Arabidopsis thaliana: one gene and its partner. The protein of the gene in region 2 binds, or shares a complex with, the protein of the main gene of each other region. Each region holds a gene or a part of one and is shown on either strand. Other genes may lie near its edges. The genes, in order: PPH and ACD2.

Region 1 (5,585 bases), on a different chromosome or scaffold from region 2:
CATGGCCACTGTTTTGCGTGCTCTCTTTTTTCAATTTTAGGGTTTTTTGCATGATACCTTTTTGCCACATTTGGAGGATTTTGTCAGTTCTTCTGGGTCCTACTTTCCCTTTTCTTCCTAAAGTTGTTTTTTTCTTTCCTCTTTTTTCCTTCCCTTTAAAATTAGATTTATTAGTACTAGTGTATTTTCTCTTTAATGTTGTTGTAAGACATAAATCAGACCAACAATGTTGACCGACATAAAAATAAAAAAAAGTTCAGAGCAACAATTAGAAACAATTTCAAAGTACCCCCAAGAATAAAATTGCAACAACTAGCATTGTTTGATGGTTACCATTATGTTATCAACTAGTGAGAGATAAAAAAACATACTGAGAAGTAATTTCTTACAACTAGTGTAGAACGACACTTTAGTAGCAGCTTTGTAACACCGGTTTTTTTTTTTTGACACTCAAATCAATAAATAGATAACGAGATTTTATCAGAGACTAAGAAACAAATTAAGAAAAGAAGCAGACCAAATCTCATGTTGGATATATAGCCTGTGTAAGTAAGTTTCTCAAAAGTGGTTTGGATAGCCTTCTAATTCAGTCCCTTATTTGTTGACCGTGGAACTGACAAAAATGAGATTCAAGCTAAGGGAAGAATATGGTCAAGGATACGACTTTGCCTCGAGAAAAGTAACCAATGATACGTCTTTTCAAACACCATACATGTTCAATAAAACTGTTCACCTTTGGAAATTATTAACAATTCAAATACACTCACTTTCTTCTTTTGGAATCAGAGTAATTTCAAGCTCTCTTCCAATTTTTAAGACAACTCATATGGCCTGCAATGTCGCCTTCCTATATTAATCTGAACCTGTGGATTATATACAACAATGCAAGAAAGGAGTTCCTTCGATTTAGGTGACTAACTATCAAGTAGATATTTTTCTAACTTTTCCTTTTGAACATTTTAGAAACTTGATTCTACAGACAACATTATATAGCTAGCATCGGATGCAACATAGATTACAATTAATTTACACTAGACGACTGTTCCATGCTTCTTCTATGCAGACTTCCCTCCAAACACCCTTATAAAACTGGATCTGAAAGATTCTCTAACTCCTCTCCAGTACGTATAGTTTGACCCATATAACCACAGATTCACTGCTTTTTTCCAACCATCTCTCGGGAACTCAATTTCTCTACCAATCCTGGACTCCTCCCAATCTTCTTCAGTGTCCTCCAAAAGCGGGAGCGCTTCAAAACCACCAGACTCCAGGTGCTTGATCCACCCGCGCATCAGATAGTTCACCACCTGCTCGTTTTCATATCCCAAATGGTGGGTTCATTATACCTAATTGCAGAGTTTGAAGAATTTATTGACTAGTTCATTATACCTCAGGGACTTCATCGTGTGGGCAGTGACCCGCTGGGCTGATCTCGTAGTATGGAGCGTTGGGGATTTCCTTCTTTATCTTCTTTCCCCATAACGGTCTCACCCATGGATCTTCTCTTCCATACATGAGACATATCTGAACATTGTTTTCCTTACACCTAGCATAAACCATCAAATAGCAGCATTCCTCATAAGCAATAACACCAATCACGCAGAGTAAAAAACATATAAAAACAAGAAACCACACTGTCTTATACCTAGATAAAGCTTCGGAGAAAGATAGCTCTCCACCAGGAGCAAGCATGATTGAAGCAAACGATGCTGCAGCAGCCGGATGCTGTGTGACCTCCACAATACGTGAGAATACTTTATCCACATTGATAGAATGGTCTGTGTAGACCTGTTTAAGTATCTCAGCTATGCTTTCAGGATCACTTATCTTTTGCCACCTGCAGTTTCATTGGGAAGTAAAGATATTAGACTGATAGAGATAGAAATAGAAAATGATACTTTTCAGGTGAGGAGATGTGTTAATAAAGTCTCCCTTACACCAATTCTGTGATTTTTTTCACTCTTTCCGGCAGAGGGAATGCTCCGGGCCATGGAAAGAGACGTGCTAGCTTTGGGGATCTTACTGGATTAGGGAAGAAACCCCAGAAAGGTGTTGCATTAAGCAAGGTAACACCCTTAACCAGGTGAGGATGGGTTGCTGCAAAGTAGAGAGCTACATACCCTCCAAGTGAGTTCCCTGCAATGTACACAGGCTCACCGATAACCTGTACAACACAAATACCACATACTCTTACCGACTCAGCAGCTTATTTCAGATGAAAAAGATCGTGATCTCAAACTAGAACACAAACGGAATCAAAGAACAGAGATGAATTCTAATATCTAGTGCATCCTAAACTTTCCCATTCCCAAAGCAACACCAGAAGACTCCATACCCACACTTTCAGGTTCTGAGCTGAAAACTATTGAAATCCATGAGTATACGACACATAGCAACAATCTACACTAAAAAAAAAAAGCTAACACACTGCTTTTGAAATTACGACTAAAAGAACAAAATCAACAGCTTAAAGAGTAATAGAACAACTGAACTCAGATATTGCTAACCTCTTCTACAAAATACTGAACTTGATCCCTCCAGAGATCCAGAGAGAATACAAGTTGATCAGCCCACGGTTCAGTTTTGTCACCAAATCCCCAAAATGGTTCCTTATCTTCCGAGGAACTGGTTTCTTCAGTCATGGTAGTAGGATCTTCAGTAGGGAGAGATAAACCCTGTCCAAGAAAATCAATAGCCCATACTCGATAATCCCTTCCCAAATCGGTAAGCTGCTTCTCATAGTGAAATGAACCAACGCCAAAGCCAGGAAGAAACAACACCGCAGGAGCATCGAGATTGTCACAACCGGCTTTCTCATAATGTACTCTAAGCTTGGGCTTCCACTCGCAGTGAGAATGACTGATTCGAGCAGCAATTTCACCATTTGATTCATCAGGCAAACCAGGAATCAAAACCTTTGACGTTGATTCTCCTCTTCTGGCTATACGACCCAAGTCATCATTCTCACCAACAACATAACCATCGGAATTTCCACTTCGAATCACAAGTCTGGATTTTTTGACCCCTGAGAATAACAAACTTGACCGATTTGGGACCAATCTTTTCGTTGCTAATTTACTACTCCAAGTAACCACAGAGCACTGGGGCACAACGTTCAGTGAGATTATCTCCATAACAAGTTCCTGCAAATGAACAACCAAAAGGCATATCCTTTAATACGAATTTTCCACTCATATATCTCAACTTCATAGCAAAGCTAAGAATAACAAGGAAAATCACATATGAAGCTGGAATCTTTGTATAGTTATCAGAATTTTGCTTCAAAAGCTGAAACCACATACAAAAAGTTGATGAACTTGCGGTAATCTTCTATGAACTCGTCTTATCAAATCCTAATCAAAACAAAGCAAATCAAGGTCAAGCCAATCTTCTATCAAATTGAAACCAAACAACAACAACACCACCCGATTCATCGACAAAGAACTCCAGCTATATAATAAACCCAGGAAGAAAAGAAAGAAAAGAGAGAGTTGCAACTTGTACCTTTTCAAATTCCAGAAGCGAGAAGCTTCATCAAATGGTCTCTCTGAGAGCGTTATTGAGAAATTAAGCGAGGAAAAATCTAAAGGTGAAGAAGAAATAGAAGAATTGGGTTGCTTGCTGGCTTGGTTAACTTCAATCGTTCGGTGCAAACCGACAGCAACGTTTTTATCGAGTTTTTATTTTTTCTTAAAGGATCCAAAATTCATACTGTATTATTAAGTGTAGGGTTATTTTTTTCACAATATGACATTTTGTTTTGGATCTGACATTGCTAATTTGACACCGATGTAACATTGCAAAAACACATGTTTGTTGCAAAAATATGACAGAATAATATTTTTTTTAAAAACAATTGATTTTTGATCTTCTTTTCCATTGTGTAACAATCGGAAAACAAAAAAAACAATCGAAAAACCTGCAGTTTTCATATCAAACAATATAAAACCCGTTTAATTTTTGAATGGTTTAATCACTATTTTAACGGTGTTATTTGAGTTTTCTAGTTGATTTTAAATGTTAGAGAATTGATCTTGTGTGAACTAAAAATCCTAATGGTCGAAGACTAGAAAGCGAAATACACTACTCTTCAATTAGAATACAGACAACTATCTCTAAACCGAGCGTAGAATCAATAGCAATAAACCGACCGTAGAAACTGGTTTCGCTGTAACCATAACCTTTCTTAATAAGACAACCGCGTTTTACCAGTAAACGACTTTTCCTCGCAATTTAATCCCACTTTTGTTATTTTTTCAAATTCGTTTTTCCTCGAAGGAGCATCGAGTAAATATATCATTAAAGAGCCTTTAATAACTTAGACATAATAATTATATCTTTAAAAAAAAAACAGAAAAATTCTTTGCTTTGCAACAAAGGCAGACAGACAAAAGGCTAATTCGGAGCTCTCCTCCACATCTTCTTCCAAAACACAAACAAACCCCCAAATTTCCAGAAAAATCAGATCATTCTTTCATCAATCTCGTCTTCTTTAATCTTAGGTGAGAATTCATCAGCTCAAAAACGCAGCACCCGATCGTTTTACGACTCAAATCAGAGAAGCTGATTCTTTTCCAATCATTCCAATTTCCATTTCTTCCTTGGGAGGTGATCGACGATTATTCAATTTATGTTTTTCAATTTCTCTTTCTGTATTCGTCAATTTGCTTGAATTTGATCCTAGGGTTTTGATTTTGTTGACTATTTTAGGTTTTACACCAAATTAGCCGTCGAAAGGGGTGCTTCTTTGATCTAATTTCGATGGCGGGATTAGAGAAAAACGCTGATTTCTCAGGGAAGACGACGAAATCGGCTACAACGACGTCGTTCTTCAACAGGTCGCTTACAATTCACGGAAGAACAGTGGTGGATTCGGGCCCCAAATCCCACAATCTCAATCCTTCTCTCAATCGTACCACCTCCATTACCAAATTCTACACCCCCGTAGAATCGATGGGAACTTCTCTTAAAGGCAAAGTCAAAAACCTTTGTAGATTATTCGAGACTTCCAAACCCGTTAAACCTGCCTTAGCTGAGATTCCTCAGAAGCAGAAATCCGGTAAATCCCTTTTACCCGAATCGCGGATATCGCCTTTTTCGAGCTTAAACAACTCGGTCATCCGTCTTCCCGGGACAGAGGACAGGATTGTGGTGTATTTTACTAGCTTGAGAGGGATTAGACGGACGTATGAGGATTGCTATGCTGTCAGAATGATATTTAGAGGGTTTCGGGTTTGGATCGATGAGCGCGACGTCTCCATGGATATCGCTTATAGGAAAGAGTTGCAGATTGCAATGGGAGAGAAGTCTGTGTCTTTGCCTCAAGTTTTCATTATGGGCAAGTATGTTGGTGGTGCTGATGTGATCAAGAGTTTGTTTGAGATTGGTGAGCTTGCTAAGATTCTTAAAGAGTTTCCAATGAGACAACCAGGGTTTGTTTGCCATTGCTGTGGGGACATTCGATTTGTTCCGTGTTCCAATTGTAGTGGCAGCAAGAAACTGTTTGATGAGGATGAAGATAGGGTCAAGAGATGTCCTGAATGCAATGAGAATGGATTGATACGTTGTCCTGATTGCTCTTCTTG
Region 2 (4,402 bases):
GGTTTAGATTTATTCACATTATTGTCGTGGTCAATGATCTTAAACGCCTTAGACAATTCGTCTATGGAGTCTCGTTCTCCGAATTTGGTTGTCATCATATGCACAAATTCGTCGAAATCTATGGCTCCACTTTGGTTTTTATCTACTTCTGCCATCAATTCGTTTATTTGCTGCAACAATGAACATGACCAAACTAAATACAAGTTGGTTCTACGTACAATGATCTAAACCATGAAATTAAAACAAAGAAGAAAAAAGGAAGGAAAACAAACAAACCTGATTATTCATCTCAAATCCAAGAGACCTGTAATCAGCTGATAATTTTTTAGTACTATACTTAACTAGAACTTGAAGAAAATAACTTTGAAAAAGAAAGAAAAATTGCCGTTGACCTCATAGCAACGTTGAGCTCGCTAGCATCGATGCTACCTACATATGAAATGATGCACTAAATCATGTGAGCAATAACTTTGTAAATCGGATAAAGAATCGGTTTAATAGTTTACCTGAACCGTCTATGTCGAAAAGATCAAAGATCTCTCTGATCTCTCGTCTCTTCTGATTGGTCAACCCATAAGTCTTCCCTTTAGGCTTTAGACCTCTTCTGAGCTGTGCTGCTTCCGACATGTAATTCGCCTTCCGGAAGACAAAAAGAAAAACAAAACCGATGAACAAAGTAGTCGGATAAAGAATCTAAACTAAGAGACAATCGAGAAAAGAAAACACTAACCATTTCTTGTGTAGGAAGGAAAAGGATGATCTGATAAGAACAAATGGATTAAATGGATGATTTAGTTAATTTGGTTTATGATGCATGCGATGACGAGATTAGTTGCCGATGATCTGTCTCTTTTTTGTCTGGTTACTAACTCTTTTGAAAGCGATTTAGCTTTAAAACTTTTAGTTTTGCACGTTTATGTTCCTTCGTTAATATTAATCTATATATTATATTGGTTTTGCTAATGTAAAATGACATGATCTAGAGAACGAGAAATTTAACAAAACATCCATGTAAAATAGTGAAAAAAAAACTTTAAAATCCATGAGAAAAACAATAATTCAAGACTTTTTTTTACAGATAAATTAGAAACTTGATTGATAAATTTACAATCCCATAGTATTAAAATGAATCAGAAGGAATCCGATTCAGAGATGATTCACAACAAAGACGTTCTTAGGAGAAAACAGGACTTGTTTGATGGTCATCTTGCGTTCTTGTGACATTGATGAAAGTAAATGTTTAGTACAATGAACATTAACTGATGTATATATATAGTTACATAATCTAGAGAACACCGAAAGCTTCTTTAATAGCGTGTACAACACGGGAGGAAACTTCTTCACCAAACATTCTCGGAAACTGCAAATCCAAATCGTCCTCTATGCTCTTCCTTCTAAAGCTTTTATCTCTTCTCTCCAACTCCATTCTCTCTTCTTCCCCAACCACAATCTTCTCTTCTTCTTCCTTCACACACCGCTCCAACCAAACCTCGAGAACCTCCTTAGCAGCTGGACTAACATGATCTCTCAATATCTCCTCCAACTTATCCTCTTCCTCCGCATCAATCTTAAGCATCGAAGCAGTAGGAGAGAAAGCAGAACGGACAAAGAGAGAAGGAGACACATAAGGGTTAACTTCAGGTAGCTTAAGGAGAGATTGTCGATGAGAATCAAGAGCAGTGTCTTGGTAATACTCCTTGAGATAATCCGGGTTAAGAACAAGATCTTTACGATGTGGGAGGTCAAGGATTAGCACAAGCGACTTGGAACTGCTCTGTATTAGTTCGACCACAAAGTTTGGAGCTTTTGTTGATGAGTTTAAGAATCCAGAGATGCTTGTTATATTCAAAGATACTCCTGTTGGGATCTTGCAATGTATCCAACTTCCTATAACAAAATCAATCTGCAAAACAAAACAAACTTTAAGATTCTCTAAAAAGTTTTTTTTTAGGGTTATGATTTACATCGAAATTGAAGTCTGTTTCTACTTAAAATCAAGCAATTGAGCTCTAAAACAAGCATGCAAAACAGTCAATTTCGATCTCATAACTGAAAAACAGAGTTAATCGTCGCAAGTACCGGAGAAGATTTGTCGCCGGATCTGATATGAAGAGATGCTTCGGCGGAACCGTTAGGGTTATTGAAGTTTCGTACATCTGGAGGGAGGTTACAGGGAAGGAGTTGTGATTGGAGGCGATTCTCCACCGTCGACATGAGATCAACCATGAGCTGCTTCCGCGTGGGTGACACATACGGGAACTCCATAAATTTTCGGCGGAGGTGATCGTCGTGGTCTTCCATGGACTGGAATTGAGCTCGAGGTCTGAGATTCTTTGAGAATCGCGACGGTTTTGAAGTTAACGGCGAGAGATATGATGGAGAAGAAGAAGAGTAGAGAGTGTTGCAAAATATCATCGCCATTTTTTATGTGGCTATGACTAAATTATGTCTCTTCTTTTTTATTTACACTTTTGAAGAAATTAATTACTATTTTACCGGGATTATAGTTTTGTGGTTTGTAATATATTTCTTGTGGTGAATTATTACATACACATATTTAAATAAAATAAACTATGCTTTTTAATTTTTAAATGGTTTGAGAGTTGGTAAGTGATCTTCTTCTACTCAATCAAGTGATGCAAGTATTGGGCCAAGAGCGACTTAATTGGGCAAACAAATAATAAGAATAAATTTCTAAATTTTTCGATTCTTAAACAAGTAAATGATTTGTTTGTTGTAGAGCTAGTTGGAATTATTTTTCTCTCTAGTTAAGTAGTGTCTTTGGAACCTTACTAAATTTTTATTTAATTTCATAGCATTTTCTATTTAGTATATTGCTGTATTTTTTCGATTCCTTGAAGACATCTTTATTTTTATTTTCCTGATAAAGAGTTCTAGAAAATGTTTCTGTGACTTTTATAAAGACAATTTCGAGGGAAAAATATTCAACGGATTACGTAAAAACACGGAAACCACCTACTACTACTTGCAAAGAAAATCAATCAAACATAAAAGTAAAATTTCTTCCTCTTTCACAAGTTTTCAACTAAGTAGATGACCTTAGACCAAGTATTTCACATGCTTTTTTACATTATGAAGACATAAATTAAGCAACAATAAAACTTCAACATCTGTTTTATTTTCTTAATACACTAATTAAATTATATAATACATGAAAATCCATTTATATATTTGCGTTGATCCTTCTGGACCTTCTTCACCTTTTTAAAACATAAAAATAACTTTTCTTCCTTACGGAAAAAAATAGTTTTTTAAATCATTTTTTTCGTCGTCGTCGATGACGTGTCACACGCTGGTTTGAACAGTCTTCTACTCTTTTTTTAGTTGCAGACTTTGCTGCTTTTCCACAACGGCGCGTGAAAGTCCACGTTCTTTATTTCCGTCATACGGGACCCACTCACCACATAATTCTTTTCATCCCGGTCCCTCTTTTTTCTCTCTCCTTTCAACCACACCCCAAACAATTTCAATCCTTCACCTACCCCCTCCTCTGCTCCTCCGCCGCCGTCGCAACCTTCGCACTCACTCTCTTCGTCAGACTCCACCGGTTTAAATTTCCCTCCTTTGATCATTTTATCGATTTGTTCCGGTCTTACTTTCAGATGACCCGTCAAGAACGTCACTAGCTCATCGCGCTGCTTCTTCGCCGCCGCGAGCTCCGAGCTCAAGTTATTGTTTTCACGTTTAAGCTTCTCGTTCTCTCCTGATAAATCAGCAACCATGTTCTCCACCGAACCAGGATTCTTCGACGAACCGGGTGATGACGTGGAGCTTGAACCGTGATCATCACCACCACCAGAATTAGACTCAGAAGGCGAACCAACAACAACACATTTCCCCGCCGTTGAAGCAATCACCGATTTACGCCGTCGTATGTCCGTCAACAGATCCTCCCCGCCTCTCCGGAAATAATCGTTTGCAAATTCCCATTTATCCGGTACAGTTTTACGAAATCCCTAAACCAAAAAAAAAAAAAAAAAAAGAACAAGAACATTCTCAGCTTCTAGAAGGTTTTCTCACCAACCCCCAAATTATGAGAAAATTACGAAATTGGCTAACCAACTACAAAAGAATGATTCAATTCACCAAACGAATTAAATGAAGCATTAAATTGAGAGTAAATGAGTTTTCGTTAGAGTGAAACTCACGTAAGTGTTGAGCTGACGAATGAAGCTTGAGAAATTATTATGCTTGAAGTATTGAGGAAGAAGATCTTTAGCAAACTCTGCTGTTTTCCACACGACAAAAGCTGTTCCTTCTTCGTTCCATGAAACGACGTCGTCTGTGCTATGATCATCAACTAGCTGATACGTTTTGCTTAAAAACGGCGCCGGAACTGATCTTTGCGCCGCCGTCACAGCCGTCATCTCCGGCGAACTTT

What was found.
Region 1: ACD2 (region 2) and PPH share a complex: the UniProt entries of both Arabidopsis thaliana proteins name them as parts of the SGR1-CCE-LHCII complex.

The regions. Positions count from the first base shown.
Region 1 is NC_003076.8:4,451,008-4,456,592, forward strand, and holds PPH (pheophytinase), read right to left. Parts: upstream 3,702-5,585; 5' UTR 3,505-3,701; intron 3,354-3,504; 5' UTR 3,301-3,353; coding exon 3,241-3,300; intron 3,144-3,240; coding exon 2,508-3,143; intron 2,165-2,507; coding exon 1,938-2,164; intron 1,838-1,937; coding exon 1,646-1,837; intron 1,547-1,645; coding exon 1,390-1,546; coding exon of another isoform or gene 1,384-1,389; exon of another isoform or gene 1,308-1,383; coding exon 1,056-1,307; 3' UTR 728-1,055; downstream 1-727. Other genes in the region: AT5G13810 (Glutaredoxin family protein), read left to right, coding at 4,762-5,585. UniProt on the Arabidopsis thaliana protein: Alpha/beta hydrolase dephytylating specifically the Mg-free chlorophyll pigment (pheophytin), yielding pheophorbide. No activity on chlorophyll. Belongs to the chlorophyll catabolic enzymes (CCEs).
Region 2 is NC_003075.7:17,440,646-17,445,047, reverse strand, and holds ACD2 (accelerated cell death 2 (ACD2)), read right to left. Parts: upstream 2,437-4,402; 5' UTR 2,422-2,436; coding exon 2,080-2,421; intron 1,904-2,079; coding exon 1,286-1,903; 3' UTR 753-1,285; downstream 1-752. Other genes in the region: CEN2 (centrin 2), read right to left, coding at 18-170, 277-304, 393-429, 507-636, 731-733; HSF4 (heat shock factor 4), read right to left, coding at 3,342-3,977, 4,170-4,388. UniProt on the Arabidopsis thaliana protein: Catalyzes the key reaction of chlorophyll catabolism, porphyrin macrocycle cleavage of pheophorbide a (pheide a) to a primary fluorescent catabolite (pFCC).